Elephas maximus indicus: one gene and its partners. The protein of the gene in region 2 interacts with the protein of the main gene of each other region in a pairwise test. Links are inferred from orthologs where the notes say so. Each region holds a gene or a part of one and is shown on either strand. Other genes may lie near its edges.

The links.
Region 1: the proteins of RUNDC3A (region 2) and RAP2A interact in binary tests that used the Homo sapiens proteins (3 or more experiments, as listed by UniProt). The link is inferred for Elephas maximus indicus from reciprocal best matches to the Homo sapiens genes RUNDC3A and RAP2A.
Region 3: the proteins of RUNDC3A (region 2) and EIF3E interact in binary tests that used the Homo sapiens proteins (3 or more experiments, as listed by UniProt). The two-hybrid records come from large-scale screens. The link is inferred for Elephas maximus indicus from reciprocal best matches to the Homo sapiens genes RUNDC3A and EIF3E.
Region 4: the proteins of RUNDC3A (region 2) and CCNL2 interact in binary tests that used the Homo sapiens proteins (3 or more experiments, as listed by UniProt). The two-hybrid records come from large-scale screens. The link is inferred for Elephas maximus indicus from reciprocal best matches to the Homo sapiens genes RUNDC3A and CCNL2.

What each region holds. Positions count from the first base shown.
Region 1 is NC_064832.1:92,112,031-92,119,763, forward strand, and holds the start of RAP2A (ras-related protein Rap-2a), read left to right. Parts: upstream 1-4,728; 5' UTR 4,729-4,751; coding exon 4,752-5,065; intron 5,066-7,733. UniProt on the Homo sapiens protein: Small GTP-binding protein which cycles between a GDP-bound inactive and a GTP-bound active form. In its active form interacts with and regulates several effectors including MAP4K4, MINK1 and TNIK.
Region 2 is NC_064837.1:50,816,768-50,824,235, forward strand, and holds the start of RUNDC3A (RUN domain-containing protein 3A), read left to right. Parts: upstream 1-4,548; 5' UTR 4,549-4,690; coding exon 4,691-5,083; intron 5,084-5,253; coding exon 5,254-5,339; intron 5,340-6,212; coding exon 6,213-6,302; intron 6,303-6,403; coding exon 6,404-6,484; intron 6,485-6,670; coding exon 6,671-6,836; intron 6,837-6,949; coding exon 6,950-7,107; intron 7,108-7,468. UniProt on the Homo sapiens protein: May act as an effector of RAP2A in neuronal cells.
Region 3 is NC_064833.1:34,017,740-34,025,672, reverse strand, and holds the start of EIF3E (eukaryotic translation initiation factor 3 subunit E), read right to left. Parts: upstream 3,019-7,933; 5' UTR 3,016-3,018; coding exon 2,896-3,015; intron 1-2,895. UniProt on the Homo sapiens protein: Component of the eukaryotic translation initiation factor 3 (eIF-3) complex, which is required for several steps in the initiation of protein synthesis.
Region 4 is NC_064821.1:39,994,461-40,001,423, forward strand, and holds the start of CCNL2 (cyclin-L2), read right to left. Parts: upstream 3,010-6,963; 5' UTR 2,939-3,009; coding exon 2,654-2,938; intron 2,327-2,653; coding exon 2,252-2,326; intron 2,095-2,251; coding exon 1,985-2,094; intron 1,036-1,984; coding exon 915-1,035; intron 1-914. Other genes in the region: MRPL20 (39S ribosomal protein L20, mitochondrial), read right to left, coding at 6,497-6,670. UniProt on the Homo sapiens protein: Involved in pre-mRNA splicing. May induce cell death, possibly by acting on the transcription and RNA processing of apoptosis-related factors.

The DNA of each region.
Region 1 (7,733 bases), on a different chromosome or scaffold from region 2:
AAACTCGGTGTTTGGTGCATTTCCTGGACTTGGCCCTATGCACTTCTTTCTTGGCTGATTTAAATCTGTATCCTTTGCCTGAAATAAACTGTAACCATGACTATAACAGCTTTCCATGAGTTCTGTGAGTCCTTCCAGTGAATTTTCAAAACTGAGGGTGGTTTGGGGGATCCCTTGAATTGCAATTAGTGTCAGAAGTGAAGGTGGTCTGGTATGGACTATCCCCCCCAACTTCTGCAGTGGGCAAAGGACCACACAGTGGCAAGAGCTGAGTCATGTGCCTCCTTCTGGGCTAAGTGTGTTCAGAGAGGAAAGGACTGACATTAATGACAAATCCTGACTCATCCCGAGGAAAAAGAAAGAGCAAGCATTCAGGAGGCAAGCGGCATTGTGGCCACACTTGTGCTATATTGAATGATCCACACTAAAACTCTCATTTTCTCAAATCCCCCAAGTTAAGACTTTTCAGTCTTTTTCTCCCTATGTTTTAATCCTTAAGCCTTTCCTCTCAGAAATTTTTTCTTCTTAAAATGGACTTTTCAAAGAGACATTTACTTCCCAACCCACAGGCTTCTTTCACTGACTTGTTTACATACTCAATCTCTGCACTGTGATTCTTTATCTTTTCAAAAGCATTGGAACGTACCAAATTTCTGAAGAGGAACAGGTTTATTTTGACCTTTCCTTCCCACTTTTTAACCTATTTCTATTTCTCAAAGAACAAGACAATGTCTTCTGCTCTCCTTCTAATTCCCAGCAGGGTGCCACAGGTGCTAATGTACGCGGTTTGTCCCTGCCTTTTATGGTTAATCGGAGATGAGCTTTAACAGGAATCAACAGGAACCAGGGTTTTACAGCCAAGATCAACGGTCATATTACACATGGCCTGTGCTAACTTGTTTATATTAAAGTCTCTGCATATTTGCTTCTTGCTGATGTCAGGAAGTCCCACAACACAGTGTATCCCCACTTCATTACACCTTTCCAACGTCTTTCACTGGAAGAAAGGAGCTGGGTTTCCATGGTAACGCATGGATGGCACTTGAGGGTATTTGGGCATAGGTATGACAACTCTCAGAAACCCTGGCGGCCTAGTGGTTAAGTGCTAGGGCTGCTAACCAAGAATTTGGCAGTTCAAATCCTCCTTGGAAACCCTATGGGGCAGTTTTGCTCTGTTCTGTAACACTGTGAGTCGGCATCGACTCCACAGCAGTGGGTTTTGGTTTAAGACAACTCTCAGATTCAGTGGAGAGAAGAGAGACCAAGTCTCCCCCCACCCCCCCCCCCAGAAATTCACTTCAGAAACTAAAGGGACCCAGCAGGTCAGCATGCAGTGTTAACACAGATTTATAACTCTAAACGAAAATTCAATTTTGTTTTATCTCAATTTTATTTTGCCTTTCTCACAAAGAAATGGGGGCAGAAGCTTTGATTTCTAAAGTTTCTCAGAACAGAGAGATGATGCTGGCATAGGAATGCACATGATGAAGGGACCAGGAGACAGACAGCCGTTACCCACACAAATCTTCAAAATTCTCTGTATGTCCCGACATGTTTCCTTACGGCTGCTAGTCCTTCAGCCAGGATTGCACATAGAGCCACCAATCAGGTAAGTACCAGGATCCAAGCCAGAACAGATAAGAAAGCATGTGCCTGCCTGTCACATTTCCTTTGCCTCCTAGTGGTTAAAAAGTTACTTCATGCCACTTGAGAATGCAAACTGAGGCCTGTCCATATCAGAACTATAAACAAACTGCAGTTACTCCAAGGGCTGCAGTCTCTACACTTCTGCTTATCAGAAGGTCAGCACCGGTGAAAGGTCAGAGGAATAGCCTGAGACATGCCAAACACCTCTCCTGCTCCATTATGCGAAGCAGACTGACTAAGGAGCCCACTTCCTATATTTGTTACAACTTCTGTTTGATGCACTCTAATCCAGAGCCTCCTAATTGTCTGGGAACCCAAGCTAAGGAGAACAATTGCTTAAGGTTACATACTGGGCCCACAATCCCAACACTAATTTCTCAAAAAAGAAAAGTCACTGGGCCTTTTTTATTCCTCGCAAAAGGAACAGATTTTCAACTCCACTGCGACATAAGGCACTGCACGGGCTGTAATGATCTACACAAAGACAGAACTTTGAAGCTCCTTGGCTCTCCTTAGCCTCCACCAAGCCCAGGAAGTTATTATCACCAAGTTAGACAATTCAGACCTTAAAAGACAGTCGGTCTTTCCTTAGAAAAGAAGTGTAGCTGTTACCGACTGAGCTCATGTACCTACAAATAAGAATACTAGTTTCACACAAAATACCAGACTTCTGAAATGCCAGGTGAACAGTGCATTTACCTACAACATCCTCCTGAAATGTCTCTGCCAAAGTGCTCAGATATGAAGCATTCAACTGAGCTCTCTCAATTTTAATTCCTATTTCACATTACTACCTTCGGTTGAGATATCAGATCCTCTTCTGTCTCTTTTAAATTATTCCTCTTAGTTCTTTTGCAATTTGCCTTCATACACTGCTGAACCTACTGACTCAGATATAACACTCATATTTCGATGATAATCAAGAAATAATGACTGAGGCATATTTTACTACACACTTTTAATTCTGACAGGACACTTCCTTGTCTTAAACAAAAACTTAGGGTGGTGTGTGTGTGCATATACATATTGTATATATATATCTTATATATATAGCGAGATAACGCGAATATGAATCATCCACTCTAATTTAGTGGAGTGATAAGGCATTAGGACACTGTCGAATCTGGGTATAAAAGTAATGGTGGAGAGGCACGCCAGAATCAAACGTTATGACTATAAAAAAAGGATTTATTATTCCCAAGAGATGTGAGAGAGTAATGGATGAGAGTAGACTACTTTTAGAAGGACTTAGTTTATGGGTGGTAAACCCAACAACGAGTTATTACAAAAATAATCCAGGGATGTCTGGGGCTGTGGGTGCAGAAGGGTACCTAAGCTGTAATGCTCGAAACATAACCTAAGTTTTAAAACAGGAAAACACACACACACACCCTATGCCTTAGGAGGCACCCAGAGAGGACCAACATAACTGCTGCACGATGCCTCCTCAAGAACAGGAAAATTTCTGTTTTCGCGATTCAGCCCACCTTCACCCCAATCCCTCAACACCATTTCCACGCCCATCACTGAAGGAGAACGCCACAGAGACTCAATTCATCACCCTCCTCTGCAACAACCCTCGTTGCTTTGCCAGAGGAAGCCACAGCGACCAAGCCCTCAATCACTGACGCCCTCCCCAGCCACACCAGCCCTGAGTCCCGTCTCCATACAACCCGGCCTTTGTAGCAAGACAATCGAAAGTTGTGGTTGGCTCAACCTAAGCCTGCGTCATTCACCAGCTCGCCTACGATTGGTTGGCAGAGAGTACGCAGGCGCAAACGCCCCGCCTGGAGAGGCATACGGAAATGGATGGCTGAGCCTGCAACTAGACTTCTTCCCTATTGGCTGAAGCAAGGGTGTCACGTGGCATTAGGCGGCTCCCTATTGGCCCTGAGTGATACCACGAGGTATAGAGACGTGTTGTGGTTGGCTGGAATGAATCCAAGCTTCCTACTCAATGCTCCAGCCGGCTGTTGCTGAGGCATCCCTGGTGTTCTTGGCGGCCTCGCAGGGCTCCGCGCTCCGGGTTTTTCCTGCGCCCGCAGCTGACAGGGCGTGGGAAGAGCTCGCCTTCAGTCCCGCTCAGTGGGAGGCGGGGCTAGAGGGGAGGTGGATGGGATCCACGTCGACGTCGCTAGGCGTGAACCCTGCCTCGGCGGTGTGTGTGGCCGCTGCTGAGCAGCTCCTCCGGCCGTGGGTGCTTGTCACCTGTCCGTCATTGCTCTGCCGCTGGGAACAAAGCTGCTTTTCCTTACGTTTATGCAACCTCGGGCAGAAGGCCGGAGGTGTTCTCCTCACCTTACACAGAGCTTCATCCCCACAGCGAAGCCCTGAGAAATACTGACAGACTGGGCGGTGTCAGGCAGAGCCCCTGCCCACGTCTTCCCTGCTTTGCTTGCATTAGGTTGGCCTGGCCCCGCTAGCGTCCGTGTCCGCCAAGACCCGAGACTCCGGCAGGCGAACTGGGCATGCTCAGTACACAGGCCCCAGGGCGCGGTGGGCTGTGCGGGTGGGGTGGTGGTGAGTGGCCGCGGGGCTTGTTTATTTAAGCGCGGGCCGAAGCTTCGGCGCTGCGCAGAGCCTCCGGGGAGCGCGCGCGGCTGGTCGCCTAGACGACGAGGGCCGGGGCGGGGCCGCGAGGCCGCGAGGCCCCGCCCCGGCCGCCGAGCCCCGCCCCCGGCCGCGCCGCGGCTCGGGCTCGGGCTCGGGCTCGGGCTCGGGCTCGGGCGCGCGCTCCAGCGCCGAGGGGAGCGGCGGCGGCGGCGGCGGCGGGCGAGGAGCTGGGCGTGGAGGCGCGAGGGGCGGGGCGGCCAGGCGGGCGGGCGGGCGGCACTGCGGGCCCGCGGCTCGGGCGGCTCCGGCGGCTGCGCTCCCTGCGCTCCCTGCTCGCCCTCAGTGCGCCCGGCTCGGCCCATGCCCAGGGCCGCCGCTCCCTCCGCCGCCGCCGCCGCCGCCGCCGCCCGGGGGGCCGCCGCGGCCGTGCGGGTGGGGCGGCCGCGGGAGGCGGCGGGGCCGGCAGCCGGGGCAGGGTCCGGGGGCGCAGCGCGGCGGGCGTAGTCTATGTCGCGGGCGGCGGGGGCGGCGGCGGCGGCGGCGGAGGGACGATGCGCGAGTACAAAGTGGTGGTGCTGGGCTCGGGCGGCGTGGGCAAGTCCGCCCTGACCGTGCAGTTCGTCACCGGCACCTTCATCGAGAAGTACGACCCCACCATCGAGGACTTCTACCGCAAGGAGATCGAGGTGGACTCGTCGCCGTCGGTGCTGGAGATCCTGGACACGGCGGGCACCGAGCAGTTCGCCTCCATGCGGGACCTGTACATCAAGAACGGCCAGGGCTTCATCCTGGTCTACAGCCTGGTCAACCAGCAGAGCTTCCAGGACATCAAGCCCATGCGGGACCAGATCATCCGCGTGAAGCGGTGAGAGGCGCGGGCGCGGGGGCGCGGGCGGGCGGGCGGGCGGGCCGGCGGGGGCAGCCCCTTCCGGAGGGGCCCCGGGGGGCGGCCCGAGCCGGGCTTCAGGGCGGGACTGGGCGCGGCTGTCCCGGGGCCGCAGCCCCGGCGCGGGTCCGCCTTAGGGGCCGCTGGCCGGGGAGACGGCCCGCGCGCTCCTGCTGGTTCTGCAGCCCTCCCCACCCTCGTCGTCGTCATTTTCCGTCTCCAATTTGACCGCTTTGTTTCACAACTAATATCTGGCACCCCGTTAACCCACAGCACAGCTCTTTGTCTCTTGGCTCGTCTTAGGAGCGCTTGTACAGAACCCTAAAGGAAACAAAGTTTAAAACTTGCAGGGGATTAAAGGGGTGGGCAGGTTTATGTCGGGAAGAGGATAGTGGAAGTCTAGGCAAGACATTTTCAGATTGAACCGCCCCCGCCCCCTCCCCCCGAAAAGCTACCTTTGCAATATTGATGGCAAAAATTGCTCACACATGGACTGCGAAGATACCACATCAAGAGCAAAGAGACCTTTATCATCCCAGAAAAGATTTAATGGTGCAAATGCGTCTTACAGAAATCAGCTCTCTGATTTAGTGCGAAACTTTGAAGCCAGATTGTTATTTGAAGACAGCAGCTCAGTGGGGTTGCAGGAGTGTTAGCTTATAGGTGCACAGATAAGCCTTTTATTCATTAAAAGAAGCGTGGCTTAACTCTGGACGGAAATGCTTTTTTCTTCCATTTGGTTTTGTTTCCATCTAACCATCCCCCCCCCCCAAAAAAAGACGGAAGAGTCTTCAGATGTGTAAGTCGGGTATTAGCTGATAAAGTTACTACAAACGAGCTCTTTGCCGATATAAACTCTGTTCTAAAAAGTTATGGCTGGTAGCTTAAAGGACATGATGTCTGTTTTCTATTAAAGTTGACTGAGTATATTTTTCCCTATGATTTTGAGCGTTTGGCGTGTTAGTGTCCTGGTTCAGAGTTTCAGCAAGTTTCCCTAATTACTGTTGAATTACACATGTTTGTCTGGTTCTTACTGTGAGAGTCTCTGCAGATAACCTTATTGATGTAGTCTCATTTTCTTTTTCCTACCCCATTCCACCTGTAGCCATACATTTGAAGACAGACATTGAAAGATAGGTGCGAGTTTACCACAAGCACAATCACACCAGAAGGCAGCTTGAGTCTGCTGATCTTGAAAAAGCAAGGACCAAGCGCGGTGTACTCAGGGCATGCTCAAGAACTCTGTCAGCAGTGGGTTTTTAACGCAGTGTAGGAGCTTCAAGGGGAGGCCCTCTCCCCACCACCCTCCTTAACCAGATGACTGTGCACTTCAATAGCTAAGTGAAAGTTTTGTGTTATCCCTTCAGTTAAATTTCAAACTAGAATAAAGTCAATATTTTTATGGCCTTTGTTGCTGAGATCTGTGAGTCTGATAGCCTTTTATTTCTCCAGTCTCAGTATCTTCAAGTTGTTTATGGTTAACAGATGGGCAGTTTTGGTGTTGATAATGTATATGACATTGAAGGAACTACACCATTCAAAGGGAGCCCTGGTGGCATAGTGGTTAAGAGCTCAGCTGCTAACCTATAAAGGTAGGCAGTTTGAATCCACCAGCTCCTCCTTGGAAATCCTGTGGGGCAGTTCTTTTCTATATGTAGGATGACTGTGAGTGGAAATCGACTCGACAGCAGTGGGTACCATTCAGGGGACTCAAATGCTTAATTATACTTCACCACCCCACCCCCAACACCACGCAATTAAAATGAAAAAAATCTACGAGCAGAGCAGTCTAACACGTTGCCACATCTCAGCGTTTGACCAAACACATAAAATAATAATCTAAGTAAGTGCCCCAGCTGTCCCACCTTTCATGTCTTAACATGTCCATATAAAGGTGCATGCATACGTTATAAAGCCACATACCCAGAGCAAACCTCTTGGCCCGAGCCTAGGGGGCAAAATATGGTAGACAAGATATCATCGGATAGTATAATTTCTTATTTAGTGCTGATTATTTTTCTCAGTATGTAATGTTTTAGTCTAAAATTGGTGTCCTGGGACAACTTCTTGCACTGTGGCCCGTTGCGGGGGGAGGGTAAGGATAAATTTGACTTGCCTGCATGTCGCTGTACTCACTAGGTTCCCTTCTTGGTGTAAAAAGACCAGTGAGCAGCTAAAGTGGAGTTCATCCACTCTTCACTGGAATTCTACCATTTTCCCCATGAAGAACCACTGAGACTTTTATGTTCACATCATGTTTTTTTATACCCCTCCCTAACCTCATCATCTGGTTTCCCAGACCTTACCAAAAAAACCTTTGCAGTCAAGTCCATTCCGACTCTTAGCGACCCTGTAGATCAGAGTAGAACTGCCCCACAGGGTTCCAAGGAGCGGCTGGTGGAGTTGAACTGCCGACCTTTTGGTTAGCAGCCATAGCTCTTAATTACTGCACCTCCAAGGCTCCCCTGGCTTCCCAGCATATAGCATATTATACAAAAATTAAATTGAAAGAGAGAAAGGACTTGTGTCTGTTATCTATCTACAATACATAAAGCATATATTATACTGGAACAGGCGTTCACTGTGTTGGTTCTTCACCCCTCCTCCCACTTAAAGAGGATGAAACATGGTTTTCAAATAAGTGAAT
Region 2 (7,468 bases):
CCAGATGCCCGCTCCAATTCCAGCCTCTCCCGGGGACCCCCTCGGCTCTCCCCGCAGCCCCGGCCCCTCCCCCGTCCCCAACAAACCCTGCACACTCTGCGGATTGGTCCCCGGCCTGCCGGGGGCGGGGCCCCGGGCCCTGACGTCACCAGCCGAGGGGGGCGGGCGGCTGGGGGAGGGGGTGACAGGGCCCGGCTCAGCACCTCGGAGAGCTCCCTCCCCGGCCTTGTTTTGCTCCCGAGTTGCTGCCGGGGGAGGGAGCGAGGGGGCCGGGCGCTAGGCGCGGAGGCAGGGGGATGGCCGCTGGGGGGTCAAGGGGCCCTGGCGGGCAGAGGGCCCAGCCGTGAGCCGGCGGGGGGCCGGGACGCCGGGCGAGGTGGGGGGCAGCGGGCGGCGGCAGCAGTGGCCGCATATCTGGATGGAAGCAAGCTTTGTCCAGACCACCATGGCTCTGGGGCTGTCCTCCAAGAAAGCGTCTTCCCGCAACGTGGCCGTGGAGCGTAGGAACCTAATCACCGTGTGCAGGTGGGCGCCGCTGGCGGGTGGGGGGCGGGATGGTCAGGGAGCCGGGTTGGGCAGCTGAGGAAACTAGCGCGTCCGCGGGAGGAGACACAGCAGCTGGGAGAACAACGAGGGAAGCAAAGGGTTAAAAGTGCGCGTCCACGGCCCCTCCCAGGCCCAGAATGGGGAAGGGGCTTGAAGGTCTGGTCCCTACCCTTCTAGGCCTATGCAGGCCGGTGCACAGCCTGGGTCTTGGGGGTTGGGGGGTTTTAATTGGCACGGCAGCTTCCTGTGAGAACCAGGAAGTGACATTGTGTGAGGGGGAGGGGGAGGGATGTCTGGCTTCGTTTGCTGGGGGCGGGGGCGGGGCAAGCCGAGAACTGCTGGGGGGAATGAATGCTCTCCCGGGGTACCCTCACCCCCACCCCTGTCAGCCAGGCCTCTCTGCGGTGGGGCTTTGCCTGGGAGACTTTCCTCCGCTGAAATCTCGGAGCAGGGACCGTACCCTCCTCCATCTCTCTCTGGGCAGCTGCAGCTTAGGCCAGGGTCACCTGGGCAGCTGGGCAAAGCCATGAGTCAGGCTAGCCAAGGGTGATGGGTGCTGCCCCTGGCACGGGAAGAACCAAAGACTGGCTATGGAAGCCTGAGTCCTCTGGGCTCAAGGAGAAGAGGATGGAGGCAGGGCCCTTGGTCCCTGAGGGTGCGGCTGTCGCAGTGTTGGGAAGAGTCACAGGCTCTCTTGGGGCCCAGGAAGTGGTCCTTCCCACTTCAGCCCTGCAGTGGCTCATCATCCCTGTTCTGCCCGGAGCCAGGAAGCAGCCAGCCGCCCAGCTAATCTCCCTGCAACCCCCAAGGACACTCCCCTCTCCCTCTGGGGTCCCCATGCCAGTGGTTTCTCCACCTGCAGCCTCCCTGGTGCCCAGGCCCCCCAGGTGTTGGGGAGTAGGCCCACTCAGGGCAGGGTGCCCCCATCTCAGCCAGCTTCTCTTGCCAGCCCCACCTACCTTGTACACAGACCTTGGCCCTGCCTCCTCCCCCAGGAATTAGCGCCCACCTGATGCCCTAGTTCCTCCTGTAGCTCCTTCCAGGTTCCTGGGCACACATCCAGCCATGCTGTGTGTCTCACACGTTATAGCCCTGCGGCCAGCACAGTGCTGTGCACATCAGACCTTCCACAAAATGCTTTCCATGTCATGGAAAGAATAAGTGCAGCTATGGCCCGGCCCAGAGCACAGGCTGCTGCCTCCACCCTCACTCCCAACCTGTCAAAAAAAAAAAAAAAAACCCAGTGCCGTCAAGTTGATTCTGACTCATAGTGACCATATGGGACAGAGTAGAACTGCCCCATCGGGTTTCCAAGGAGTGCCAGGTAGATTCGAAGTGCCGAACTTTTGGTTAGCAGCCAAAGCTCTTAACCACTGCACCACTAGGGTTTCCACCAACCCACCGGTGTGGTGTAAAACAAAGATTTTGGCCTTCGGGGCCAAATAGTTGTAGGTTCCAGCTCTTCACCATTTATTAGCTGTATAACTTTGGGGGAAGTCTCCTGACCACTCTGGGCTTTGGGTACATCATGCCATGTCTGTAACATGGGGCAGATGTAACAGACACCCCAGAGGACGGTTTTGATGAGATACATGTAGGGCCCAGCACAGTGCCAGGCTCACAGAAACAGCCACATCCTGATGACACCCCTCTCCTCCCTCTCGTCATTCTTGACCTCCCAGGTTCCTCTTCTTTCTCTTACCTGCCAGGATAGCTGACGCTCTTGACTGTGGAGAGGAAAGAGGGAACTCCCCTGGCCTAGGCTGGAGAAGCAGAGGTTCTGGTAGACCAGAGGTGGGCTCGGAGCTGGGGTAAAGGGTAGTATTTTTGGGCATCAGGGCATGACAAAGGCTCAGAAATCCCTCGGGCCTCTGCTGCCTCATCACTGTCACATGGTTTGCCTCCAGCTCCCAGAACAGCTCCCTTTAGCAGGCCAAGGGTTCCCCTGGGCCCTGGCCTCCCTGTCTCCATGGTAACCCACAGCAGCCACTGCACCTCCTAACCGGGCGCACACCATGGGGCTCCCAGGGGCGATGACCAGCTGTACAGCACCCCTGAGGACAGATGACAGAGGGCTGCCACACTGCACCCAGCCCCAGGCCCCTACCAAGGCCTGACACAGATGACCAGAAGAAACCATCAATGGAGGGTCATAGTGAAGCCCAACCAATGTCCTAAATGCAGACTCCCTCCCAGGAGGGCCATCATCCCACTACTGGCCCAGCTCCTCACCACCCCTTGCCCAGCCCTGCCCAAGACTGGGACCAACATTGAATGTGACAAGTACTATTATCACTGTTACACAGGAAGATGGGCTTAGAGAGGTTGAATGACTTGTCCAAGGCCACACAGTATTACAAGAAAACAGAATTTGAATCCACTGGGCTGCCTCCCCCTACTGTAACCCCAATCATGACCTACCTGGCTATAATCTCAGGCCAGAACAACTCTGAGCCCAAAGAGAAGTGAAGGGGGCCCCATAGGTTCAGCTGTGCCATTGGCCTGAAAGCCTCAGAAGCCAGTACTCCAGGAATACAGTCTTGTAGGGTGGAGGGCAAGGAAGTCAGAGGCTGCTCAGGGACCTAAGTATGACAGCCCCCAGGAGGCCACAGATGTAGCAGAAAGAGCAAGGGCTTTGGAATCAGACATAACTGCTTGAGTCCTTACTAGTGACCCTGAACAGACCAGACAACCTCTTGGAGCCTCAGTTTCCTTATCTGTAAAATGGGGATGATGATGATAAAAAGAGGACCTACCTCCCAGGTCTGCTGTGAGGGCTGGATGAGATAATACATGCACAATATGGTGCTTGGTACAGGATAAGGGCTTAAGAAACTTAGAAAGAAAAAACGACAGTTCCAAGCAGCCCCCATACCCCTGGTGTCCCCATCCCTGTCTGTCACCCACAACAGGGCAGTAATGGGATGTTGGAAGACATATCCCCATCCTGGCCCCACCCTACTGCAGACTGTGGAGATTGCAGGGGAGGGATTGCAGGGGAAGCCTGAGGCTTCAAGCAGGACTGGAGAGAGGGGCAGGGGCCACCTGGCTTAGCGCCTCAGCCCTCCTGGCTTCCCTCAGCTCCCTCCACTCTGAGAAGCCAGGTGTCCAAGCCTCCAAGCTCTTTCCCAGGGATCTGCTGCCAATGCCCCTCTGGCCCAATGTGTGTATCAGACCCACACCCTGCAGCTCCCCGCCCCCCACCCCGCCCCAGCTCTGCACTGCCTGGTTCTGGGCAGCTGGTGTGTGGGTGGCCGAGCTGGGAAGAAAAGGAGGAACAGGGGTATTCATTTGCTGAGAGCCCACCTGGCCACCCATGAGTGCCCACGCTCCATATGCACGGTGCCAATCATATGCCCTGGCAGAGGTGACTCCCCCACCCCCAGAAAGGGCAGCAGGTTGTCCCAGCAATAGCAGAAGCCAGCTCAGGGCAGGACACAAACAGGCTTCTACCTCCTGCGTGACCTCCAAGTCACACAGATAGAGAATGACACTGAAGGGGGATCAAGGAGGAAGGGGATCCCCAGAGATGGGGCTCTGGGAGAGCCCCCTGGCTTTGGTGCCCCATCTTTCTATCTAATGTTTCATCTCCTCCCGTATTTTGTTCCCAAAGCTTCCTCTCTCTGGCTGTCACCTCTCCTGTCACCCACTTCATCAATCAGTCTCCTACCTGTCATCCTCCCTCCCCACCTGCCACTCTGTCATTCCACATGTCATAGCCCCCCTGTGGTCACTGTATTCTCACCTGTCACCCACCTCTTTTTCCCTCTGCGTCCCACCACATCCACACCTGTTCTCTGCCCATGGCTGTCTCTCTTGGCCTGACACCTTCCTCTTCCTTCCCTACCCTGTCTTCTTACCTGACACTGACCGTCCCTCCCCGTAGGTTCTCCGTGAAAACACTGCTGGAGAAGTACACGGCCGAGCCCATCGACGACTCATCTGAGGAGTTTGTGAATTTTGCAGCTATCTTAGAGCAGATACTCAGCCACCGTTTCAAAGGTGGGCCCAGGCTTCTGTCACCCACCGCCTAGCCCTTCCAACTTCCAGCTCTTAACGTCCAGCCACCCCACTCTGATATACTCACGGCTTTCTGAACCCCACACTGACTCTGGCCCCAATCGTGGGCCCTACACAGAAGCTCATGCGTAGAGCTAGGAGGAGGGAGGGGTCTTCCGGGCACACACAGTGGATGCCCACCAGCCCCATTGATGGGTGTCAGCTTTATGCTGGTGTGCCCTCTGAAAGCATGCATGTGTGTGCACACGTTTGGGGTGGGCACTATGCATGTGCATGGGAACCTATACGTAGGCATGTGTGTGCTCCATTACATGGCCCCTCTCCAAACTCCCTGGCCTTGCTGAGCCCCCCTCCCTGCCCTGGCTCAGCCTGTGCCCCAGCAGGTCCGGTGAGCTGGTTCAGCTCAGATGGGCAGCGGGGCTTCTGGGACTACATCCGACTGGCCTGCAGCAAAGTGCCCAACAACTGCGTGAGCAGCATCGAGAACATGGAGAACATCAGCACAGCCCGAGCCAAGGTGATGGGGGCTGGGGCAGGGTGGGGCTGGGGTGATGCTCCCTGGCTCTGGATGCAGGAGGCCTGCCTGCTCCTTGGTCTTCACCCCTACCCACAGGTACTGGGGAGAGGGGTGACAGGAGGCCACAAGGTCTTTCTGGGACTGCAAGTGAAGGTGAGCTTGCTTTGTAGGGCCGGGCCTGGATCCGGGTGGCACTGATGGAGAAGCGCATGTCAGAATATATCACCACGGCTCTACGGGACACCCGGACCACCAGGTCAGACCCTGCCTGTCAGCCCAGCCATGGGTCTCAGTTTGCATGGTCATCGTCTAAAAGCACTTGATTTTTAAGTTCCAGTGGCAACTTTCAGTACCTGGACTACAAGTCCCGGGATAACTGCTAGCTTCTCTCCCAGGTTGTTCCTAGCATGGCTGTTCTGAGGTCCTGGAAGTCACACTAAGCACTACTCCCATCACCTCTATGTCAAATTATATGTCCCATTATCTCCCACCACTCCCATCATGCACAGCTCTACCCTTGGACACACCTCTAGACAAGCCCCAGCCATGTATGGCTTTACTTGTTGGCCTTGTTCCATGACCTTCTGCACACAGCCCTACCTGCTTCCCAGATAACTGCAGCAGTTCTGTACTTGTTACTGGGACTAGACAGTCCCGTGAGCAGTTTCAGCCCCTGGACTGTGGGTTTGCAGAAAGATTGGGTCCCTGTGTTTGAAGCTGTTGGATGTAGTAGGGGCATGTACCCTCCACCCCCAAGGTGGTCATGCCCAGCCTGACCTTTTACTGCATTTATCCTGTCTGTCCTCACATTTCAGAATTCAGGTCAACATATTTTTTGAGCCCCTGCTATAGGCATAGTGCTAATGATTTACACTTGTTCCCTGACTTTGAGGATCTGGGTGACCCAGTACTTGGTGGGAAGGGGCAGTTCAAATGATGGAGGGGAATCTATTCTCAGGTAACATCCGTTCTAATAGCTGGGAGACACAGGTCCTATCCCCAGCAAGCCCCAGTCTGACGGGGGCAACAGGATCCAGGAAACACTGGGAGGCAGACAGCAGAAGTCCTGAGGGGTGCAGACTTGGGAGGAGGAGGGTGCTGGGCCGTCAGTCCCTCTCTTGTCCCACAGACGATTCTATGACTCCGGAGCCATCATGCTGCGGGAGGAAGCCACCGTCCTCACAGGGATGCTGATAGGACTGAGCGCCATAGACTTCAGGTGGGGCTCTCCAGGGTGCTGGAGGGGGGTGTTTCCCCCATGAATCTCCACACCCCTATTCCCTCCTGCCCGGCCCCAACCCTGTGGCTCCTTTGCCCCAGCTTCTGCCTAAAGGGGGAAGTGCTGGACGGGAAGACCCCTGTGGTCATCGATTACACGCCCTACCTGAAGTTCACCCAGAGGTGAGCAGCTGGAGTTGCGGTAAGCTCCGGTGACTCTCAGATGACCCTCGGGTGATGGTCTGAGGGGCAGTGACGGGACTGGGGACGGCCGGGCCAGTATCCTAACCTGGTCCCACTGCCCGAGGGGTCTGGATTGGGATGCGAGTGGGGCAGGGCTGGCCCGCGCCCACTGCTGTCTCACCGAAGCTACGACTACCTGACGGACGAGGAGGAGCGGCACAGCGCCGAGAGCAGCACGAGCGAGGACAACTCGCCCGAGCACCCATACCTGCCGCTCGTCACCGACGAGGACAGCTGGTACAGCAAGTGGCACAAAATGGAGCAGAAGTTTCGCATCGTTTACGCGCAGAAGGTGCGCGCCGAGCGGCGGGTGGGGGTGTGGCGGTGCTGGGGACACTGCCCAGCCAGTGGCTGCGGCAGCGGGGACCGCGTCCTCTCTACCCGGGCTGAGCCCGCGCTCCGCAGGGCTACCTGGAGGAGCTGGTGCGCCTGCGCGAGTCGCAGCTGAAGGACCTGGAGGCGGAGAACCGGCGGCTGCAGCTGCAGCTAGAGGAGGCGGCGGCGCAGAACCAGCGCGAAAAGCGGGAGTTGGAGGGCGTGATCCTGGAGCTGCAGGAGCAGCTGTGAGCGCGCTGCCGCCCTGCCCCTGCCCCCCACTCAGAGCATGTCAAGTCAGCGAAACCCATCATTCAGGGACCCCCAAGTGATGTCACTCCCATGACTCTAACATCACCTTTCCTGACACTGCATCCAACTCAGCTAACCGCCAGCGTTAACCCACTGATCCACACCTTCACCGCAATACACTCCATGACCTTCTAACATTATCCCCAAAGATCCCCAACAGAAGATGCAGGGATAACCGACTTCACCCTACATGACCGTAGACATCAGCTAGAACAGCCATCCAGCGTTACTCACATTGCCCTCCAGTATTCCTCCTCCACGCCATTACTCACAAGGACCTCTAACCTTATTCAGCCA
Region 3 (7,933 bases), on a different chromosome or scaffold from region 2:
TCTTTCATTGCTATGCCCTTATGTATCATGATCACTGTGACTATAACCTAACCATCCAGCCTTTAAGATTCAATGTAAAGCCTCACCTCCCAAAGTCCTTTTTGCCTACTAAGATAACCAAAACCAAAAACCAAACCCACTGCCATCAAGTTGATTCCGACTCATAACGACCCTACAGGGCAGGGTAGAACTGCCCCAGAGAGTTTCCAAGGAGTGTGTGGATTCAAACTGCCAACCTTTTGGTTAGCAGCTACAGCACTTAACCATTATGCCACGAGCTTCCACTAAGATAACAGTATCTCCTAATTTTCATGGCAACTACTGGTATCTCTCTGACATTTAACTTTTTGCCTCATATTATAGACATTTATCTCCTCTAAAGAACAGACTGACTCCAGGTTTGTTTGTTAAAAAACAGGTAGACCTACTAACCCACTGCCGTCAAATTGATTCTGACTCATAGCGACCCTACAGGATAGAGTAGAACTGCCCCACAGGGTTTCCAGGAAGCGCCTGGTGGAGTCAAACGCCAACTTTTTGGTTAGCAGCTGTAGCTCTTAACCACTACACCACTTGGAGATTTCTGGGTTTTATCTTGGATTTCTCACAATTCTATGGCCATCCGATACTTAGTAATCACTAAATATTCCAGGATCTGTCTTCCTCTTGGTGTATTACAGCCATTTCACCAGCATGCTCTACAAGTAGAAACCAAACGACGTACTGCACAGGGCAAACATGCTGCAAAAGATCTCTTTAAAGTATTAAAAAACAAAGAAAGATGTCACTTTGAGGACTATGATGCACCTGACCCAAGCCATGGTGTTTTCAATCACCTCATATTCATGCGGAAGCTGGACAATAAGGAAGATCGAAGCAGAATAGATGCTTTTGAGTTACAGTGTTGGTGAAGAATATTGAATATAATGGACTGTCAGAAGAACGAACAGATCTGTCTCGGAAGAAGTACAGCCAGAATGCTTCTTAGAAGCAAGGATGGTGAGACTTTGTCTCACTTACTTTGGACATGTTATCAGGAGGGACCACTTTCTAGAGAAAGACATCATGCCTGGTAAGGCAGAGGGTCAGCTAAAAATAGGAAGACCCTCAACAAGATGGACTGACACAACAGCTGCAACAATGGGCTCAAACACAGTAACGATTGTGAGGATGGGCAGTGCTTCATTCTGTTGTATGTAGGGTCGCTATGAGTTGGAATTGACTCAATTGCACCTAACAACAGTAGCCTTTTCTCACTGACTTTCAGCTGCAATACACAGTTTTGTCTTGCCCTATGAAAAACTAATCTACACTTATATTCCTCCTTTTCTTCTGTCTACCTTGAAAAAGAAAGAGTAAAGAACATATCAGAAAAATGAAGTTTAACTAGTTTAGAAGCAAGCATTTCTACAAGTAGCTGGTAAAGGATTTCAAAATATGGCATTTTGTCTTCCTTGATCTGTGGTGAATCATCTTACCTAAGCCTTTGGTACAAATGTTAAACACTAGACTGCTCATCAAAAGGCCGGCTGTTTGAACTCACCTACAGACTCTGTGAGAGAAAGATCTGCTGCCCTAAAGATTAAAAAAAAACCTAAAGATTACAGCAAAGAAAACCCTATGGGGCAGTTCTACCCTGTCACATGTGGTCACTATGAATTGCAACTGACTCCGAGGCAGTAACAAGTTCTAAAAAACAGTACACCCTACATAAACATCAAGGCAAAAATACATTCTTTAAAGATAAAGCTTTATGTAGCAGGACATTTGTTGAAATTAACTTTGTTGTTCCCTAACGTCATCAACTTAAGTCCACATGTGTTTATAAAAAGTTAATGGTATGGATTTGAGGACGATAGCTCTCTAATAAACCATACCCACCTGGAAGCTCTGAAGAGTTTTCAGAACAAATTAATGTTTATTTTCACGACCTTTTTTTTTTTTTTTATTGCTATTGGAACATCCACAAAAAGCCCCCAAATTCTGTCCCCTCAATAGATCTATGCAGTAATCTGCTTCCAGAAATAACTTATTTTTCTGGTCAAAATTCGAATCCCCTCATCATAGTAATATTACTTTATGATGATTAAAATGCACCAATTTCCCAATAAACTGTAGCTATAACTAAGCCCAACATTTCAAAACTTTTAGGACAGAAGTATATTTTAAAATGAGATCCCGGAACTACAGCTACGTGAAAATTAACTACCAATTCAAATCACTTGACGAAATCTGTACATCTATCTAAAAAAAAAAAAAAATCTATCTACACATTAGAAAATAAACAATAAGTTAAAAGTTTTTGTTATTATTTCTGGTGCTCTTGCCCATCCGATAAAATATGCTACGCTTCTAGAAAGTAACTACTTATCAAAAGACCAGGGAAACTGCACGCAAAAAGCTCACAACTTCTTGGAAAAAATGCTAGATATTTAAGTGTAAGAAAAACATTCTAAACGATCCGGCGAACAAAAGCACAAAGTCAAGCCCACTCTTCCCACGGTTCCGTAAAGAAAATCAAAACTTCGAACACTGCAATTTGCTTTTTAGAAGCCGTCCTGGGATAAAGGTCAAACGTTATAGTTTAGCCAGTTAAGCGTCAACTTCCGAGAGCTGACGCAGACGTCCCCCGGGTGCCGGCACCTCAAGAAGCGATACACAGACCTCTTTGTCACCCAGTTTCATTCCTTCACCTCACTCCTTCCCACAGCCGAACTCTGCTGTGCTAACTAACCAGGTCAATGCTAAACTACCAGTACACCTCCTGCCCGGGCTGGGGCCAAACGCCCGTCTGCCTCACACGTGCGTCAGGCCTAAGACTAAACGCACCGCCCTTCGGCACCCCCGGCACCTCACGCGCTCCGACGCGTTCCGCCGGCTCAAAGCCGCCCTTACCTCCTTTACCGACAGAAACTCAAGCAGCGGAAACACTAGATGCCGATCCAAAAAGTGTGCGATTCGAGTAGTCAAGTCGTACTCCGCCATCTTGCCAAGGAAAAGGGAGTCTGTACTCATCAAAACTTTATTGATAGCGGTGACAAGGGAACGGACAAAACCAGTATTGCGCATGTGCAATGCTTACACCCGGGAAGGAAAAGGGGAGGGGTTCAGCCAGGCGCGCGCCGAGAGGAATGGCGCATGCGCACGAGTCCTCCCTTTACCTGGGCAGGACGTGAGCGGCGGGCCCGGTCTCTTCTATTTGCCGATTGGTTAGTATCCGCCTCCTGTTGCAGGCCTACGATTTACAAATCAATGACCTGAAATCCGTTTGTTAATAAAATTATTGAAAACTCGGGATTGGTTGCTGAGACGCTGTTTCACTGGGATGCGGCAGAGGACAAGGAAGTTACATGCAAGAAGGAATATCTGAGCTAATATTTGACATATGGTAATCGTTTTGTAGGAACCTTGGTGGCGCAATGGTTAAGGGCTGGGCTGCTAACTGAAAGGTGGAGTTGGGGGAAGGGGGGTTCTGGCGATATGTTCCCGTAAAAATTATAGCCTAGGAAACTTTATGGAGCAGTTCTACCCTCATATAGGGTTGCTATGAGTCGGAATCAACTCAACACGCAAAACAACAATCATATTGTAAGCTTCATATAAAAACTGAAGTTTTCTGGGCAGAAAACAAGTGAAATTATTTCACACTCTAAAAAAAAAAAAAAAGAAGGGCTAAAACTTTGTGATGGATGGTTGGGCTGGACCTATTAAGGTGGTTAGCAAAAACTGAGATGGGGTAACAATTTATCTGAGAGTTGGAGTAAGAGAAAGAGTTTTTTAAAATGAGAGCCGGGGTAAAAATATTCCTGGTGGAAGGCACAGGAAAGACAAAGACCATGAGAGGAGAGGACTTGGTGTGTTTAAAAAACTGAGAAGCCTCTGTGACTGAAGAGTGAGTTAAAGAGGTTGAGAGAGACCAAGTCAGAATTACGGTAAGGCATTTGGATTTTATTCTCCTTTACTGATTACTTCTCATCGTTCAAACCCCTGGATGCCAAGTTCATGCCAACTCCTACCAACTCTATAGGACAGAGTAGAACTGCCTGCTAGGGTTCCCAAGGAGCAGCTGGTGGATTCAAACTGCTGACCTTTTGGTTAGCAGCAGAGCTCTTAACCACCGGGCCACCAGGGCTCCTCTCATTCAAGCATCATTCAAGCATCTTCATTTTGGAGTGCCCCAGGGGGTCTTGCACATCTTCTCCAACTACACCAGTGCCCTTAGTGATAGCATCCACCAAAAAACCAAACCCATTGCCATTACATCATTTCTTACTCAGCAACTAGAGGACAGAGTAGAACTGCTTCATAGAGTTTGCAAGGAGCAGCTGGTGGATTAGAACTGCTGACCTTTTGGTTAGCAGCGGAGCTCTTAACCACTGTGCAACCAGGGCTCCAATATCATCCAATCTGGCTTTAAATTCCATCTACACATTGACAGTGTTCCACTGCTATTCATAAGGTTTTTATTGGCCAATTTTTTAGAAGTAGATCGCCAGGTCCTTTTTCCTAGTCTGTTTTAGTCTGGAAGGTCTACTGAAACCTGTCCACCGTGGGTGACCCTGCTGGTATTTGAAATACTGGTGGCATAGCTACCAGCATCACATAAGCCACCACAGTATGACAAACAGACAGATATTGTGAAGAATGGGGATTCCAGAACACACAATAGTGCTCATGCGGAACCTGTACATAGACCAAGAGGCAGGTATTCAAACATAACAAGGGGATACTGAGTGGTTTAAAATCAGAAAAGGTGTGTGTGTCAGGGTTGCATCCTTTCACCATATATATTCAATCTGTATGCTTAGTAAATAATCAGAGAAGCTGGACTATGTGAAGAAATGTGGCATCAGGATTGGAGGAAGACTCATTAACAGCCTGCTTGATATGCAGATAACACAACCTTGCTTGTTGAAAGAGGACTTGAAGCACTTATTGATGAAGATCAAAGACTCAAGCCTTCAGTATGAATTACACCTCAACATAACAAAAAACAATGACTCTCACAACTGGACCAATAAGCAACATCATGATAAATGGAGAAAATAGTGAAGTTGTCAAAGATTTCATTTTACTTGGATCCACAGTCAATGCCGTGGAAGCAGCAGTCAGGAAATCAAATGACTTATCGCGTTGGGTAAATCTGCTGCAAAGGACCCCTTTAAAGTGTTAAAAAGCAAAGATGTCACTTTGAAGACTAAGGTGCACCTGGCCCAAGCCATGGTATTTTCACTTGTCTCATGCATTACAAAAACTGGGTAATGAATAAGGAAGACCGAAGAAGAGTTGATGCCTTTGAATTTTGGTGTTGATGAAGAATATTGAATATACTGTGGCCTGCCAGAGGAATTAACAAGTCTGTCTTGAAAGAAGTACAGCCAGAATGCACCTTAGAAGCAAGGATGGCGAGACTTTGTCTCACATACTTTGGATGTGTTATCAGGAGGGACTAGTCCATGTAGAAAGACATCATATTTGATAAAGGAGATGGTCAATGGAAAAGAAGAAGACCCTCAGTGAGATGGATTGACACAGTGGCTGAAACAATGGGCTCTAGGATAACAACAATTGTGAGAATGGTGCAGGACCAGACAGTCTTTCATTCTGTTGTGCATACAGTCATTATGAGTCAGAATCGGCTCGATGGCACCTAACAACAACAACAAGATACTCTACGGTCTCACCCCATCTGGAGCAAGGGAGAATGAAGAAAACCAAAGATACAAGGAAAAGATTAGTCCATGTGACTAATGGACCACAGGTACTACACCCTCCACCAGACTTAGTCCAGCACAACTAGATGGTGCCCAGCTACCACTACTGACTGCTCTGATAGGGATTACCATAGAGGGTCCTGGACAGAGCTGGAGAAAAATGTAGAACAAAATTCTAACTCACTCACACACACACACACACACAAAAGACCAAACCTAGTGGTCTGACAGAGACTGGAGAAACCCCGAGAGCATGCCCCCCAGGCACACTTTTAGCTCAATAATGTAGTCGCTCCTGAAGTGGCACCTAACAACAACACATTGACAACTCACAAATTATGACCCCAACACAGACCGCTGGTTAACTCCAAACTCGCATAGATCCAACTGCCTGCCCAATATCTCAACATTAACATGTCCGAAAACAAACTCCCCCATGTAGCTCACCGAAACTTGCTTCTGTTCTTTTCTGGACGTCATTGAATAGCAACTGCATCTTTCTAGTTGCTCAGGTCAAAACTTTAGAATCGTCCTTGGCTTTTACGTTCTACATCAATTTTACCACCAAAGCCTTTCAGCTCTAACCTCTAAAACAAGAACAGTGTCAGTGAGTGGTGGATGAAAGGCTGTTTGGAGTGGGTTCAAAAGAGGGGAGGTGAGGAGGTGAGACAAAATATACAAACACATCTTTTGAAGAATTTTGCTAGAAAAGGAAGTAGAGAAATAAAATGGTAGATACTGGGTCTCAGGAGGGTGTCTTAAAAGGTGTGTGTATGCTGATAGACGTGATTCAGTATTTATGTAAGTATCTGTAGTGGAAGGACAGAATGTTTTGAGAAGCTCTATGGAATATGAGAAGAGCATGGCGTCCAGTCAGGTTGGCCCCAAACAGAGATTGATTCTCAATGGGGAGGGAGAAGATGGAAAAATCTTAGTGGATTGTATGTTTTCTATTGGGACGGCTAACTTTTAGAATAGATCTGGAGGAAAGCATTTCAAGTGGTTCAGGAACAATTTGAACACTGCAGATACATAAAGACAGGGAAATGTAAGACATATTAGAGAAACATAACTTGGGAAATAACTGCTGAATAGAGACTAGAGCAGAGGATAAGCCAGGAAAAAAAGACCAATGTCAAATAGTAGAAAGCTTATGTGAGGAATTTTAAATTTATCTTAGGTCATGTGGAGCCTTAAAATATTTTTGAGTATGAGGGCAAATAATTATATTTGTGTTTCAGGAAGGTACTTCTGACAGCGTGGACAGTGGATTGAGTAGGTGAAATGTGGAAGGTTTTCAAAACTAGGTTGGAAAATTTTTTGATCAGGTAGGCAATGGAAGCCACTCATTAAGTTCTGAAATAGAAAACTAATGAAGAAAGTGATGTTTTGTACTTTAAAATTAAACTGGAAGTGATTTACAAGATGGATTAAAGTGGTGACAGATTGGAAACTCTGCTGATTTGCCTGGCTTTTCCCCTGGAATTTTCCTTGCTGGTTTGTGAAAATATCTTGTTTCTTTTTATAAGAGAGATTTAGCCCCAAATATGGGAAATGGGAAATCTTATTTTTGTGCTTTAGTCTCTTCTAAGTCTTTTAGTTTAGAAGAGACATCAGCTAGGAAAAGCAAGCAAGGCCTTACCCAGCAGTTTCTTGGTGGTATCAGATGTAGATTCTGATTCTCAAACATTCATCAGATACTTATTGAATGCTTTTTTGCTGGTCACAATGTCAAGCTCTGGGGAAACTTGGGAAATAACCAATGATTAGAGGCTATAGGGGAGGATAAGCCAGGAAAAAAAAAAGACCAGTGTCAAATAGTAGAAAACTTATGTGAGGAATTTTAAATTCATCTTAGGTTATGTGGAGCCTTAAAGTATTTTTGAGCATGAGGGAAAATAATTATATCTGTGTTTCAGGAAGGTAATTCTGACAGTAGTGTGTTCCATGGATTGAATAGGCGAATTCCAGCCTGCAAGGAGCTTATGGTTTGGTGGGAGTGGTACATATGAAAATGTAAAATAATCATAGCACAATGTAACAGGGTCTATGCATGAAGTGCTCCTGAGAGGCCACGGAAGACAGTACTTCTCTGCCAGAGAAAATCACAACTTCATGAGGAAGGTAACATTTTAGTACCTGTTATTGTTAAGGTTGTGTGTCAACTTGGCTGGGCTATGATTCTCAGTGGTTTGGCTGTTATAATGTAGTTTGGCAGT
Region 4 (6,963 bases), on a different chromosome or scaffold from region 2:
CATGCTAGATTCAAGGACTGGGCTCCTGGTCACACATCGGTGGCAGCTCAGCAGAAGTGAGCGTGGCTAACGCACCTGCTCGCTGCTCTGGCAGCTGGCAGCAAGCATGCGGGTAAAGATGAGCTGCCCCATGGCCAAAGGCCTCCTGCTGGCAGCCAGCATGCCGCCCGTCCCACGATTGTCTTCAATACCTTTTCAATCAGTGATATTGACCTGCCCTAAACATCTCTGCATCCCAATTGCCAACTTAACACAACACGTTGTGAAAATATGCTCGGCAAGTAAAGAAAAACACTTAGATATGCTGATATTTTACCAAAAATTTGAAACAGTGCTGAAAACCAAAGTAAGAGAAGACGTGAGGAAACCCACCAACAAAAAGGGGGTGAATTAAAAGATGCAGACAACAATCTTTTGTCAAAACACATTTTGTTCAAGTATAACACAGGAAATATATCCACGGCATTGCAAGTAAACTAACAGTGTGGCAGCCATCCTCCCAACTAACGCGCCACAAAACTGGTTCAGCTCCTTTCAGAGTAAATGGGTCCAGAATTCTCCCCGTTACCCCATGACCCGAAGAAAAGCTATTCCTAAGACAACTTCTGAAAATAATTAGCTCTACTGAAAAAGATGTCTACTGACAAATCCAATTTTTACAAATTTGTCACTATTTTTGAAAGTTCAAACTTAAAAGATACCATTTCTACAACCCTTAAAAATATATTATCAAAATGAACAGGGAACGCGACAAAGTTAGAGATGAACAATTATTTGAGATTATAAACTAGAAAACCAAGCGAAAGTAGCATGTAAATCCTCTCCGGAGCCTTCACTCACTGTGAAAATGGAGAAATGAGGTGGCAAAAGCTGAAAAGTGATGTGGCAGGTCACAGGCTAAGCCCCATACCCACCTTGTGAGGGTGCTTCACATGGACACAGAAGCCCAGCTCTTTGAGAACTCGTCTTTCCGCCTTTATAATTTGGTTCTTTAAATTAACATAATCTTGATCTAACAGTAGAGGCACAGGTTTCCTGCAAAGACAAAGCATGCGGCCTGCATAAGAGTCAAATAAAACGAGGTCTTTCAAACCCCATAATTACCTCCAAAGAGAAGACTCTTACAAACACTACCAAGGCAGACGTTACTGGAAAGTGAACTTCAGTTCCTCTAGCAAAATCACAAAGTCCTCCTCAAACCCCAGTGCTAACTTAGTATCTTTTCTCAGTCACCTTCCCCTGATGCATAATAAACACCAACTAAATATAGTGGAGGGTCTCAGGGTCTCACCACAGAGAGGCTGGATGTACTTCGCATGATCTAAAACACATGTGTACACGTTTGAAAATAAATGGAAAACTAGACAACCGATGAAAGGATGACATTTAACAAGACGGAGCTGTGTTTTCCAAAGGAATTCCACCTCCTTTAGGAATACAAAGTCTAGCTAGATGTAATGTGGCTCTCGATCAGGTGCAATTTTGCTATCCTAGGGACAAGTGGCAGCGTCTGAAGACACCTGTTGGCTGCCACACTGGGTGGGGGTGCTACTGGCATCTACTGGGTAGAGATCAGGGATGCTGCTAAACACCCAGTGATGCACAGGACAGTCCCCTGCAACAAACAACCACCTAACCCCAAACATCTATAGTGTCAAGGTTGAAAAACCCTACTCTATGGCATTCAGAGACATGTACTACACAAGAGATGGATTGGGGTGTGACTACATGGGTGAACCAGGAAGCCAACACCAGCAAAACCACAGCCACAGGGCCTTTGTCCTCCATGGTGCCATTCCCTCATTCACTAAACACTATCAGTTGATTATGACTTGGGCACCAGACTCTGTTTTGGGTACTTGGGAATATATTATTGAATAACCCACCAGTTTAAAACCTCACACCCTGAGCTTTGTTACAGAAATGTTATTGCAACTGAGTCATAAAAACAAAAAGAAATTTTGACACTTCTAGCAAAACTTACTTTTTCTCTCTAAGGTGTCGGAGGCGATGAAACACATTGATGACGTCTCGTATCCGTCTTGGAGCCTCTTCAATTTTGGAGGCCAGGTGTACGCAGGCCATCGACACATGCTAAAACGTAAGCATTTCAACACAGAGTTGTTTGTTCTGCTCCTGATGGCCTCCAAAGACATAAAAAGAGCTTGGTCTACAGGACAGGTAGGCCCTCTTCTGAGCTACCGCCCTGGGTTTCACTTGGGGCTATGTCTATGGAGAAAAAGGTCCTTACCTCCATGGAATGCTTCACAAAGGACTTGGTATAAAAGAAGCGCTGGAACAACACCTGTCCGGTAGCCATGGCCACCTAAAAAAGAGTTTCCCATCATTTCCAAGCGCTCAATTCAAGGGTTTCATGGTTAAACACAAGTCACCGGGCTTGGTGTGGCTCCTGAGAGCGAGCCAAAACCAAATCGTTTTCCACAAAGGCTCGGCCACCTGGTCCAGGGAGAGGGTGGAGGATGGGGTCGCCCTGGGCCCGGCTCCAGGAAAGAGAAGTAGACGAGGGTCGCGCTGGGCCCGACTCTTGGGCGGAGGCCGCACTAGGCCCGGCCCAGCCACCAACAAAGGGCCGGGCCACCCCCGGCGTTGGCCGACGGTTAACCCGGCCCGAGGCTCGCGACAGCGAACTCACCTGCGGCAGGCGGAGCAGGATGCCGGCCGCCTGGATGAGCTCGCAGCCCACCACGCGGAGGCCGGTCTCAGTGTCGGTGTCGAGGCCGCTCGACATGGACGGCGTGAAGCGAAGCTTGTCGTCGGGCAGGAGGCAATTCTCCAAGGTGATAAGCACCCCGGAGTACAGCCTGTCCCCGATCAACACTCCCTGAGACCCGGGGGCTGCGCTCCCCGCGCCCGGAGCCCCGGCCGCCGCCACGGGGACCGCAGGCCCCGGAGCCCCGGCCGCTGCCGTCGCCGCCATTTTGTGCCGCTGACTTCCCTTCGGCTCCTTCCCGGCAGGGCGGCTCCTCGCGACGCTCTACGGCCACCGCCCAGCCTCGTGCGCGTCATTGGCTCAGCCTGCGGGCGGCCCGGCTCTGCCTGGCCGCGATTGGCTGCGCGGCTTGCCTGTCAGTGACGAGCCTGACGCCGACACCGGGAATCGGCGTGAGCGGGGGCGGGCTCGTTACCCAGGGGGCTTCGCGGCGTTTCGGGCGAGGCGGCTCCAACCCGGAAGTGGCGCGTTCTGAGAGCCCGCGGTGCGACGGCGAGCCGGTCCTTAGCCAGCGCGGCCCGCGTCCGCACTGAGACCCAGCGATGGGGAAGCTTGCGCGTCGCCACCCCAGCCGACACAGTGTGCGGTCCTGGCGGGTGGGCTCAGTCTCGGCGGTGCTGGGTGGACCAACCGCCAACCTGCCGTCCCCAGAGGGCCCTCCCGCCCTGTCCATCCCGGCTATGTTCTGGGAGGCTGCGTCCTAGTTGTGAAGAGCATGGTGGAGGGACGCGTGGAGCGTGGAAGTATGGTGTTACCTCCCTCGCGGGAGGTTGACAGGTGCTTGGTAAATCGCCACTAGTCCAGCGCCTGGCACGCAGCAATGGATACTCTTTGCTGAAATTAATACGTGGCGGCTAGTACGGTCATTATTTTCCAAGCCTAACTGACCCCAGGCACTGGGGACACAGAAGTAATACCAAGTTCTTGTCTTCAAAATGCAGTCCACAGGAAGAGAGATTGGTCAGTGGGTAACTGGAAACGTTGACTTCGATGTTGCTACAAAGCCCCTGACAGTTTGGTGGAAGGCAGAAGTTCCACAGGATTCCAGCTAGGGTTGGAGAGGAGGAAGTGAGGGTGCTGGGCTGAAGATGTCAGCAGGAAGCAAGCTGAGTCCAGGCACCTCATGGAACTGTGAGGAGCCATGGGAGGGGTGTAATGCATTTGTGACCCTCGTTTTCATTTGCTCACTTATAAAAGGCTTAGAGCTAGTGGCCCTGGAGGCCTTGCGCAGTTCTGGCCGCCTTGGGTCAGATCACCCACCTGCAGTACTGCCACTGCACTGCACAGATGAACAAATGCTGCGTTAGCCATCTATTGCTGCACAAGTCATCCCAAACTTTCACCAGGACTAGTGCAAGGCCCGTGTGAGGATGGCAGGGAAACCTGTGGGAGAGCCAGGGAAAGACCAGGTGGGGGCAGGTTCAGAGACTTTGAGTGGCCAATGGCATCATGCCCAACTCAAACTGGCTCAACGTAAAGGCCTCCATTGGCTCTAACCCCTGAAGACTCCAGATGTGGACTGACTTCTGGGGAGACTCAACCCAGCAGCTCAAACAATCCCATATGTGATGCAGTTTCTCCTCTCCACCTTCCATGGGCAAGCTAGTTTGAGTCCACCCACCTCTCTTGTTCCCAGCACACAGTACGGGAAAGGAGGAGGAAGTCCCACTGCTCCGGAAGGCCCAGCAATCATCTTGTAAATCCTCAGCCTTATGTGGGTTCCTTGTCCATTACCTGGACAGTGATCGGGCAGAGTGGAGAGAGCTGATGACTCCAGTCAGGTGCAGGCCTGGAGCTGGGGGCAAGGCCATTGATGCCTGCCTGCACTGAGGAAAATGTAGGTCTTAGGTCAGAAGGGGGGCAGCCTACAGCCCCATCTTCACTGAGATGAAACACACAAGAGAAATTCAATCCCCTGTCAAAGGGCGCTCTGTTGTTCACCCAGCTGTCTGCTCCCTGACGCTGTACTGACGATTACTGTGCAGTGAGTGCCTGTGTGTGCTGCCAGCACTGCACTCAGTGCCAGGAATCCGCAGTGCTCAACTCACCCTTGGCCTCCAGCCTCCAAATGTTCACAGTGTGGGGCCGTTGTATACAGAGGGACAAGGATCAGGTGGAGGGTTGCTCAGGTCTGAGCCAAGGTGGTTGCAGTGGGGGTGAAGACATAAAGGAACATGGACAGTGTGTGCTAGTAGGTGGTGGTTAGCCCAAGGGAGGGCCCCAGAATGGTTTCCTGGTGACTCCTGGCAAAGGTGAGAAAAGTACCGTCACCCACAGGGGAAGGAGGCACTGTGGGAGCCCCTGACCAGTGGCCACACAACAGAGCTGCTGGACATGCAGACTGGAGCTTGGGGAGTTGGTCTTGGCAGGAGACGTGAGGGTGCCAGTGAGTAAGCATCTGGAGGCCCAAGCCCTGGGAACAGGACCTCATAGGGCAAAAAGAGGCAGCCACAATGTCATAGGCTGTGGGAAGGGTAAGTGCCCACAAGGAGTAAGTGTTCCCTGGGATCAGAGAGGCCAGGGCTGGAGTGGCTGTGGGACCTAGGCTTTGGTGAGAGCAGCCAGAGGCACAGTGGGCCAACTGCCAGGCCAGAGGACAGGAGGCTGCAAGGGGACAGTCATTTGGCAGAGGAAGGAGAACAGGCTGTGATAGCAAAGGGGACACAGAAATGAAGGAGGGTTCATGACACATGTGAGAGGCCAAGGTTCCAGCTTCAGACCATAGGGAGGGCCTGGCCCTGAGCAGGGAGAGGCAAGGTGTGGATACCTCTGCATGGAGGTGCTCTGAGAAGAGGTCACTGCAGTCAAGAGGCGGACAGGGAGCCAGGCAGCATGAGGAGGGTAGGTAGGCCGTTCTCACTGGGAAGCTTACTGAGAAGGATTCCAGGTTGGACTTCATGGGGTATCTCAGGGAGGGGTGCCTATCTGCCTGTTGTGGGAGGACAGGACAGGCAGGTGAGAGATGGAGGGGACCACAGATGAACTGAGGCTGGCATGGCTGAACAGCAGGCTGCAGGGTCCCTGCTCCAAGCACCAGGAAGTGGGGTGGGGGGCGACAGATGGGATGAGGCCCAAGCCAGGAATGAGAAACCCACCCAGGGGAACTTGGCAAAGACGGAGAATGCTTGGCATCAGAGCCCAGGCAGTACATCCTGGGGGTGGCAAGGGATGCCCGACATGAGCCCAGATGCAGGTCCAGGAACTGGGAAGGTAGGTACAGGGCAGGCCACCCCATGCCCTGGAGGAAAGCTGGGGTCCGTGTGTATAGGCCTGGCATAAGCCCCCCCATCTACAGAAGACAGATGATCTAAGATTCCAAGGGAGAAAACAGCATGCTCAGGTGCATACTACAACCCAGGACCTCGAGGGCATCCCTGGGCAAGTGCACCCCTCAACTGAGTACACCCCAAACCCCAGGCATTCCCAAGGCAAAGTGAGCACAGACCCCCACCAAGGTGCAACGCTCCCCCAGGCCAGGGCACCCCAAGGTAATTGCATCCCTTGGGATGCCCTGTTTGCAAGAAACACAAATTGCAAAGCGGAGCACCATACAAGGTTTATTTTTATGATCTACATAAGACAAGTCTGTGAAGCTGTTCCAAAAGGAGGAAAGACAAGACCTTTCTCTCACACTGGCTAATAAAATATAAATAAACATTTGTAAATTGACTTAGAAACTGTTGGCTAAAACTTTCCTCTCACTCCTATTTTAGTTGTATGACCATTGTGGGGAAAAAAATTTCTTAAGTCATACACTGGCACTACTCAGCAGTAGTGCACCACGCGGGAGAACACGCCTTCAGGCTCCTTCCCATCCCCCAAGGCAGCAGCAAATCCCTCTTCTCGCCTCCTTTTGGCCAAAGCTGCCAAAGATTTAAAAGTCTTTGGCTCGTAAATGGCCAGGTCTGCAAGCACTTTCCTGTTGAGCTCCACCTGGCACTGGGAGAGAAAGCAGCGGAGACAGCAGTCAGGTTCAGGACTGTGTAGTCAGGGACAGACAGTAGTTAGGTTCAGAAGAGCACCTCAGCAGACTGAGTGCAACACCACACGGCCACCCCTCACCCAGTTATCCTGTGTATGGTATGTCAACACCATGCTCACACAGGTGAAGCCATGCTAAGGCACCAAGGAAGCTGTGGGACACGGGGAAGAAGGCAAGGCCAGGATCTGGTCCTGGGGCCAGCCTGGATGCAGAGACTTCATTTAGGGCTCACAGTCATCACCCAGAAAGA